Linked DNA regions of Canis lupus familiaris. The protein of the gene in region 2 interacts with the protein of the main gene of each other region in a biochemical or structural test. Links are inferred from orthologs where the notes say so. Each region holds a gene or a part of one and is shown on either strand. Other genes may lie near its edges.

Region 1 (4,501 bases), on a different chromosome or scaffold from region 2:
AAATTCTAACATTAGTACCATTTAGTAGAGCTACTATGCCTTCCGAAAAAGCAGTAACTCTTCTACCAATGTTGGTTTGACTTATACTAGGGGCAATTTTTTTTCCCTTCACATTACCACTTAAGATCATGGACTCGGAATCCCTGGGTGGCGCAGTGGTTTAGTGCCTGCCTTTGGCCCAGGGCGCAATCCTGGAGACCCGGGATCGAATCCCACATCGGGCTCCCAGTGCATGGAGCCTGCTTCTCCCTCTGCCTGTGTCTCTGCCTCTCTCTCTCTCTCTCTCTGTGACTATCATTTAAAAAAAAAAAAAAAGATCATGGACTCTTTAGGGTGTAAGACGTCTAATATTCAGAGAAGTGATCTGACCTCGGTCATATACTTGGTCACAAGGCCAAACTAGAACCCAGGTCACCTAACTACCAGGCCACACTCTTGCCACAGACCAAATGTCACAATTCACTGATAAGAGAAAATTTAAAAGAGCATGCCCTATACTATTATAGCAATGCTAAATTTTCTAATTTGGATAACGTGCTCTGGTTATATAAAAGAATGTCCTTTTGCTTAGGAAATCCATGTTGAAGTGTTTAGAGAGAAGGGGCTTGATACCTCCAATTTATTCTCTAATGGTTCAGAAAAAAATGCACACCTAAATATTTACATAGAGTGATAAAGCAAAAGGGGTAAAATGTAGCCAATTACTAGATGATATGGGAAATTTGAAATACTGTTTTAAGTTTTCTGTAAGTTTGTAATATGTAAAATTGCTACATGAGTAAATAAACTGCACTGTCATAAAATTAACATTTTACTTTTTTTTTTTTTTTTTTTTGGCATTTTACTTTTAACAAGACAGGACTTCCAAGTCATTGTCATTGCTTCCAACGAGTAGATATTATGCCACATTTGAAGACAACTAAGAAATGCTGTCACATGTCACAACCTTTATTTTCTTTGAATGAGAATATACATCTCCATCCTCAGGTTCCAGGAAGAGGTTCTAATCTGTGCACAAGCACTAAACATTAAGTCAGCCAGCTTCAAATTACTTTTAGCTTCAGAATCCAGCAACCCTGACACTCACTGCAGACTTATATGTTACTCTCTTCCAAGCTGATTCAAGTGGCCAGACCTGAACAGAAATCCATCTACTAAATGAATAATGGTCCAGCTAACAATTCTCTCTTTCCCCAGGACCACCACTTAGGCCAGTCTTCCATATACTGCAGGCAGATCCAGAACCAGTTACATAATACTTTTTCACAGCTCTCGTGGGGAAAAAAACTGGGGAGAAGATACAGCTTAAATCAAACCAGCATTACTTTAGATAACCAAATTCACAAATGAAGAGATAAGTTCCAAACGAAAGTTTATAGAAGGCACTGGTTTTAAAACAAAATAAAAGGCAAAAGGAAAGTGGGAGAATAGAAAACCTCAAGGACTCAAAAACTAAGATCTGCAACCAGGTAACAAAATGAAATCTGACAAAACCAGTAGCCACTGAATTAAACCAAATACCTGGAAACCTACTTGGGGAAGGTGGCTGAGGAAAGTAAAATCTAGCCTAAACCAGTTTCTGCTCCAAAGGAGCTCACAATTTAACAAGGAGAGAGCAAAGCAGGTCTACAAAGGGTAGGTGAAGCTGACAAGATGCCCAGAGAAAAGGGCAAAATGTGCTTTTAAGACTTTACAGAGATGGGGTGCAATGGATCTCCAGAGGACTTGGGGCAACACAAATTTCAGACCCTTAAAAAGTGTAATTTTTAAAAAAGTGTCTAAGAGGAAACATGAAATTGTTAGATTAGAATGTATTCTTTGTTTTCATAGCAGGTTCCCACTCAGGTCGGGATGGGACGGCCAAGTTCGTTTTTTTCCTGACAAAAAGGAAAAGTTTCTGATGTTGTTAAAAAGTTAACTACCACTAACTACATTAGTTAACTAAACGTGGGCATCGGGTCTGAGGGAGTAAGAGAATGATTTGGAACAGAAAGGAAAAGACAGGAGGCCCAAAGAGGCACAACAAATAAATCCTGACAGCTAAGAACTACGACCCACGCGGCCTTCCGGCAGAAGGCCGCGGGAAGCTGAGGGGCAGGGGATGGGCGGAGTGCCAGGGCTGAATCGAGGTCACCGAGGAGGGCAGAGCGAGCTGTGACGCTGCCGACTGAGGCAGGAGAGCAGCCTCTGCGGTTCTGCGCGGGGGTCGGAGCTGACCGGCACCTTTGACAGAGTCGGAGGAGCGGAAAAGCTGCCTGCCGGGGCCGAGGTGGGCGGACCGGGCGTTTAAAGGTCAAGGTCAAGGTGGGGTTTGGAGAGCGAGGCAGTAGCGTTTTTCCAGGAGGCCGAAGTCATACGAAATGATAAGGATATTATTTACCACTCTCATTTTTAAAAGAAAAGTAAAGGTCTCCCGGGCGGCTTCGGAGTGGAAGCGGCCCTGACAGCAGCGAGTGCAAAACAGGCCGGGGGAGGGCGGCGGGGCCGGGGGAGGGGACGGACAGCGGGATGAGCGCTGGGCCAAGAGAAGGAGGGAGGGAGGAACGGGCCGACGACACGCTCGGGCTCGGGCCCAGGGCCACCGCCGCACTCACTTGCCCTCCTGGCAGTCGTAGAGCACGATCGAGTCGTCGTCGCTGCTCGAGATGACCGTCTCGCCGTTGGGGCTGAAGTCGAAGCAGTTAATCTTGTCCGAGTTCTCGCGAAACACCTTGGCGACGCGGAAACTCCGCAGCACGCTGTCGGTCAGCTTCATGGCGGCGGCGGCTGGAGGAGGCGGCGGCGGCGGCGGCGGCGGCGCAGGGCTGGGGCGGGGCCCGGCGGCGAGCGGGCGGGCGGACTGACTGCCTGCCGAGGGGCCGACCCGGGCGGGGCGGGCGCCGCGCCGGCGGCGAGCGTAAGGGCAGCCGACAGTCGGCCCACCTCCTCCCCTTCCTCCTCCTGCACGTGCGACGCTCTTCGGGCCAGACTGCGGGGGCTCGCGGACCGTTCCTCCTCACGGTCGCCTCAGGGCCAACCGGCGCGACGCCGGCTCATTGTGTCCGCCATCTTGGGACGACAGGCAGAAGCCGAGGGCGAGGAGCCTTACCGCGGCGCACGCCGGGAAAGGGGGCGGGGCGGAGCGGGGGCGCGAGGCGGGCCGGTGGGGCGGTGACGTCAGTGCGGCCGCCCAGGAGCGGAGTGGAGTGGCGGGGTGCCCGAAGGCGGCGATTCTCTGGCGCGCAGTGGGGCCCGAGGGGCGCGGTTGTCCACCGCCTTCCCGCTGGGCCCGGAGGCAGCTGTGCCTGGGAGCCGTGAGCCTTTGCGCAGGATCGCAGTCCCCCTTAGAGGCTCCCCCTTCCCCAGGATCGCAGCCCCCCCTAGAGGCTCCCCCTTCCGCAGGCCACGGGGAGCAGGTACTGCGGGGGTCGGCTGCGCCACTGGAGGCCTGTTCTGGGGGTGAGTCAGTGGACCTATGGCTGGCGGGCTCTGACTGCTCGTGCACTACAGCGCCAGCATAGTTTCAGTTTCAGGTGGGTTGTTTGGTTTGGTTTGGTTTGGTTTTGTTTTGAGGTGTAATATACAGTAGCCTGCACAAAGTTTAAGTGCTTTTTTTAAAAATTTGGATATATACCTGTGTGACTCCTACCCAGAAGTTTTCTTTAAGCCTTCCTTAAAAACTTTTTAATTGACACATAACATGAAGTGCATAAAGTGAACGGATTTTAAGTGTACAGCTCCACACACTTGTAAGCACTTTTTAAGACATTTATAGCCTCAGAACTCATAGCATCAATTGCATGGAAATTTTTTAAATGGAGTTTTATCTCCTTATTCAACAAAATACAATTTTAAGTTCTCCAGATTTCCTCCTTTTTCGCATCTCTACGTGAACTTTATAAGTGCAACCATCTTTTTTTTCCTAGGTCAGTATTATATATTAAACATTTTTCCATGTTAGTAAACCGAATTGGCGGTGGTGTTCTTAATCGAGGTATCATTTATGTGCAGTAAAAAAAAAAACTGGCCTTTTAGGGACATCTAGGTGGCTCAGCAGTTGAGCGTCTGCCTTGGGCTCAGGGCGTGACCCCAAAGTTCCAGGATAAAGTCCCACATCGGGCTCCCTGCTTGGAGCCTGCTTCTCCCTCTCCCTCTGCCTAGGTCTCTCTGCCTCCCTTTCTCTGTGTCTCTCAAGAATAAATAAATAATCTTAAACAAACAAACAACCCTGACCTTTTAAATGGATAGATTTATAAGTTTTGACACCCATATTGAGTTGTGCAACCACCACCACATTCAAGATATAAAACAGTTACATAACCCTCTTTGTAGTCAATGGGGTTGTCTCAGTGGTTTGTTTAAGGATTCATTGCCTTAAAAGGAAGGAAAATTGGTCTCTAACAAAGGAAAGTGATATCTGATCACAAAAAAAGGTACCAGGCACCTTGGCTTTAACTTTCTATGCAAGGGGTCAAACTCAGTGCAACCTATGGGAGTTCATAGATCTCTAACTTGTGGGCAA
Region 2 (3,803 bases):
CCAGCTCCCCCACCCGTTATTCTACCCCAGTAACCTAGTTTCTCTTCTTTAAACTACGTATCTCTATCCGAGGTGCTACTATTTGTTCATCTGTCAAGTCTCCTCCTCCCCTCCAACTGATCCCAAGTCCCATAAAAGATGTGTCCCCAATACCCAGAATGGTTACCAGTACCGAGTGGGGGCTCAAGAGCTAATTCTGAACAAATGGACGAGAAACAAGACTAAACTATGTACTCAAGACTCAATGGATGCATATGGACAAACAGGTGTTCAACTGAAGAGTGGAGTCGTATCTGGTGATGGCAGCTAAGGGGAGAGGAGAGGAAGGGGAAGCACGGCTTGGTGGCTGGGCCTTCTTCTTTGAAGGCAGAAAGGCACAGTCTGGTAGTATCAGGGGGGCGGGGTAGCAGGAGAACTCGGGACCCCACGTCTTGAGGAGTTGGGAAAAGTAAGGAAGTTCTGCTGGGTGGTCTTCAGGGGACAGCCACATGTCAGTACAGAAGCTAAGCAGAAGGGAACTGTTGAACATCAGAGTTAACTGTTTACAATAGGCCAAGGGTTCCAAGAGATGGGGCTAAGAGACAGTTACTTTGGAAGGAGCAAAGGTGGCTAATAAATCCAGCATGAAGTTTCTGTGTGGACTCAGGAAAGGGCGAGGAAGGCAGTGGAATCCCTTCCTCCCCAAGCCAGAATCCTCCCCTCCTGCCTGTACTTACCATCAGACGCCTCCGTCTCCTTCTTTGCAGCGTCCATGGCCTCCTCACGTTCTTCATCTTCTTCATCTTCCTCCTCCTCCTCCTCCTCCTTAAAAAAAAAAAAAGGACAAAAAATAGGGACTAACAAGTAAAGGACAATGGTCCTCCAGGAGGCACCGCTGCCTAGGCTCCAGCCCAGAGAGGAAGCAGCTATGGGGACGGGAACTCAGGAAGTAGGCTTCTGGCAGGGACTGGGCGTCATGGCCCCTCACCTTCTCGGAGGAGGACTCCTGGGAAGCCTCCTCCCCCTCACTGTCCAGAGCAAAGGACTTGCGGTGCTTGCCCTGGGTCTTGCTTCGCTCTTCGTCTCGCTTTGGGGGCTTGGTCCCCGGACGCCCGGGCTCTCCAGCCTCCTTGTCTCGCTCAGGGTCTAGACCCAGTGGAGTGGCAGTTAGGGCAATTTACCATCAGTAGTAACAGTTCCTGTTCCCCTGGCCTGAAAGGAGCTTTGCACCCACCACTGCTGATCTTCCCAACGGTCCAACAAGACAAACCTCATTTGACAGACAAGAAGGTGAAGTTCCACAGGAGAACACAAAAACCTCAGAGCTACCTAACAGTTCTATAGCTTGGCCACACTGCACCCGTGTAACCTTTTATCCTTCTCTGGGTTAGGTGGAAGAGAGAGCCTGCCCCAAGAAAACAGCACTAAGGCCCAAGGGTCTCTGGGGAAGCCAATCAGACTAAGAAGTTTCCTAGCCATGTAAGCCATCAACCAACAGCTCAGACTTAGACAAAAGTGGAAGGAAGGCTGGAGAAGAGCTTAAGCACTGGATGGGAAACCTGGGTAAGTGACCCGTTTAACCTTGAAACCCTAAGATCCTAGATGTTGAAATTAACCATTTCCACTTTCCATTGGAAAAATGAAATACAGGAAACTTCTATCAGCACACAGTGAGAACCACAACTAGGACTCAAGGATGACCCTCTCTTAAGCTCTTCATACTTCTCAGCACTTTACTTCAATCTCTCTACTTGGCTACTTGCCCCCAGACACCTTCCCCCTTTGTCCCTGCCTCCTGTATTCCTATCAGCAGCAGGCACCCTCTCCTGTCTCCTCCCACCTGACCCCTCACTCACCATCTTCATCTTCCTCAGCTGGAGTGGAAGGACGGGGCCTCTTTTCCTCACTGGCCTCTGAAATTTCCGAAGGCTCTTTTCGCTTTACCTGGGGTGTGGGAAGAGATAGGGCTGGTTTCGAACTCAAACGGTCACAGATCCCAACCACCTCTCCCCCAAGGAAGGGAGGTCCCCACCACACCCTCTCCTCCCTATGAGGCGAGACCAGCTCTGAGTACCTTGAAAGAAGGCAGCCGCAGGGCCCCTCGCAGCCCTGACCCAAAGGCGAAGGCCTCGATGCCTGTGGTACCCCCACTCTTGGCCCAGTCTACGAGGGACAGCAGGCCCGGCTCTTTGAGTTTTGTCTTCTCTTTATCCTCCTCCTTGGCTTGCTGTTTGGCTGCGTTCTGGAATGGCTGCAGGCAGTAGGGGGACTGAGCCCCAGAACCTAGGCGCTCCCTCCTGCCTCCTGCCTGAGAACTACTCCCAGGTCCCAAGAATACAGAAATGCATCTACTCACTCCTCTATTTGACACAGATCTATGCCACACCTCCCTTGCACCAGCCCCTGTACAGGCATTTTCTCCAAAGTCTGCTCATTCAGTCCACCCACCTTACAAAGCAGCTATCATTCCCACTCTACAAACGGAAATGTTGAAAATCCAAGCTCATTGAGACTTAAGGGCCATATAAGCCAGAAATCTACTCTCTCCAGCAAAGCCCCAAGAGTTCCTCAGTCCCAGGCATTGTCCCTCACCTTGGCCTTCTCTTCTTTGCTCTCCCACCACTGATCAAAGGCTCCAAAGGCCACATTCTCCACCATCTTGCGGTTGAGGTCTCGCTGCATGATGCTCTTCATCTCTTGGACGAGGGTGGCCAGCACACGCCCCACGGTGCCTGCTGATGGTAAGGCCTTGCCCTCTGCCAGCTCTGCTTCCTCCCTGGGAGGCAGCCGGGCCTCTTCTCCCGACACGGAGGAGGAGGGCAGGGGCTCAGCTGCTACAGGCAAAGGCAGGTGGTAGGCTTCCCGGGAGTATGCCCCCCGGCCTTCTTGCCCTTGTGTGTACAAAGCATAGGGTAGGCCATAGGCTGCCTCCTGGGGGGGTGGGAATGGGAGGAACGCCTCCCCAAAGGCGCCACCAGGGGGGCCAGCTGAGGCAGCAGTCAATCCCTTGCCCTGCCGCAGCTGGTGCAGTCGAGTTAACATCTGGGTTTGCATCTGGAAGGACATGGGCATCCCCCCCCACTGAGCCCCAAGTCGATCCATGAGCTCTAGGGAGTTCACAAAGTCATAAATGTGGGGGGGTGGCGGAGGAGGTGGGGGGTACTCGGGGGGAGGCGGCCCATCAGGGCGCGGTGGGAGGAGGTAGGCGGGCTGGTGGGGAGGATAAGCAAGGGGCAGGGAAGCCAGGTATGGAGGAGGAGGAGGGGGTGGAGGAGGAGGGGGTGGAGGCTGCTGGGGGGGTGTCGGGGCCGGAGGGGGTGAGCCGCCCCTGTCGTCATCGGAGATCTCCATGTCCTCTCCAGAAGAGCATGGAGAAGCCTGTAGGGATGCAGACGAGGGTCACAGAAAGCCTCTGTCTGCTCCAGGGCTTTCCCTCAAATACCCGCTCTCATGTCTAATTTCCTGACCCCCACCTCGGGCCCAGCCCTGCCTCCCGGAACCCGGTACCTCTGCCAGCTGACCCCAACCTCACCTGGTTCTGTCCGTTGGCCTTGGGAGACTCCCGGGGAGCCCCTGGTTCCCCACTTCCTGTGGGTGCCACATCCTCAAAATTAGCAGGGGCTGGAGGGGGTGTGCAGGGCCCGTGACCAGACCCAGGAGGTGCCTCGCTCCCTGTGTCTCTAGAACTAGGGCCTGTGGTGCTGCTCTCTTCCTCTTCCTCTGTGTCAGACGCCAGGAAAGAGAACTTGGAGCGCTGCTCCTTCAGCAACATCTCGATGCGGGAATCCAGGCTGCTATGTTGAGCGAAGGGCACGCTCTCGTTG

The links.
Region 1: the proteins of SETD1A (region 2) and WDR82 form a complex in vitro, tested with the Homo sapiens proteins (2 studies listed by BioGRID). The link is inferred for Canis lupus familiaris from reciprocal best matches to the Homo sapiens genes SETD1A and WDR82.

Annotation. Positions count from the first base shown.
Region 1 is NC_049241.1:37,900,631-37,905,131, reverse strand, and holds the start of WDR82 (WD repeat-containing protein 82), read right to left. Parts: upstream 3,065-4,501; 5' UTR 2,756-3,064; coding exon 2,595-2,755; intron 2,270-2,594; exon of another isoform or gene 2,136-2,269; intron 1-2,135. UniProt on the Homo sapiens protein: Regulatory component of the SET1/COMPASS complex implicated in the tethering of this complex to transcriptional start sites of active genes.
Region 2 is NC_049227.1:17,399,426-17,403,228, forward strand, and holds part of SETD1A (histone-lysine N-methyltransferase SETD1A), read right to left. Parts: coding exon 3,512-3,803; intron 3,358-3,511; coding exon 2,572-3,357; intron 2,231-2,571; coding exon 2,054-2,230; intron 1,924-2,053; coding exon 1,836-1,923; intron 1,126-1,835; coding exon 968-1,125; intron 805-967; coding exon 717-804; intron 1-716. UniProt on the Homo sapiens protein: Histone methyltransferase that catalyzes methyl group transfer from S-adenosyl-L-methionine to the epsilon-amino group of 'Lys-4' of histone H3 (H3K4) via a non-processive mechanism.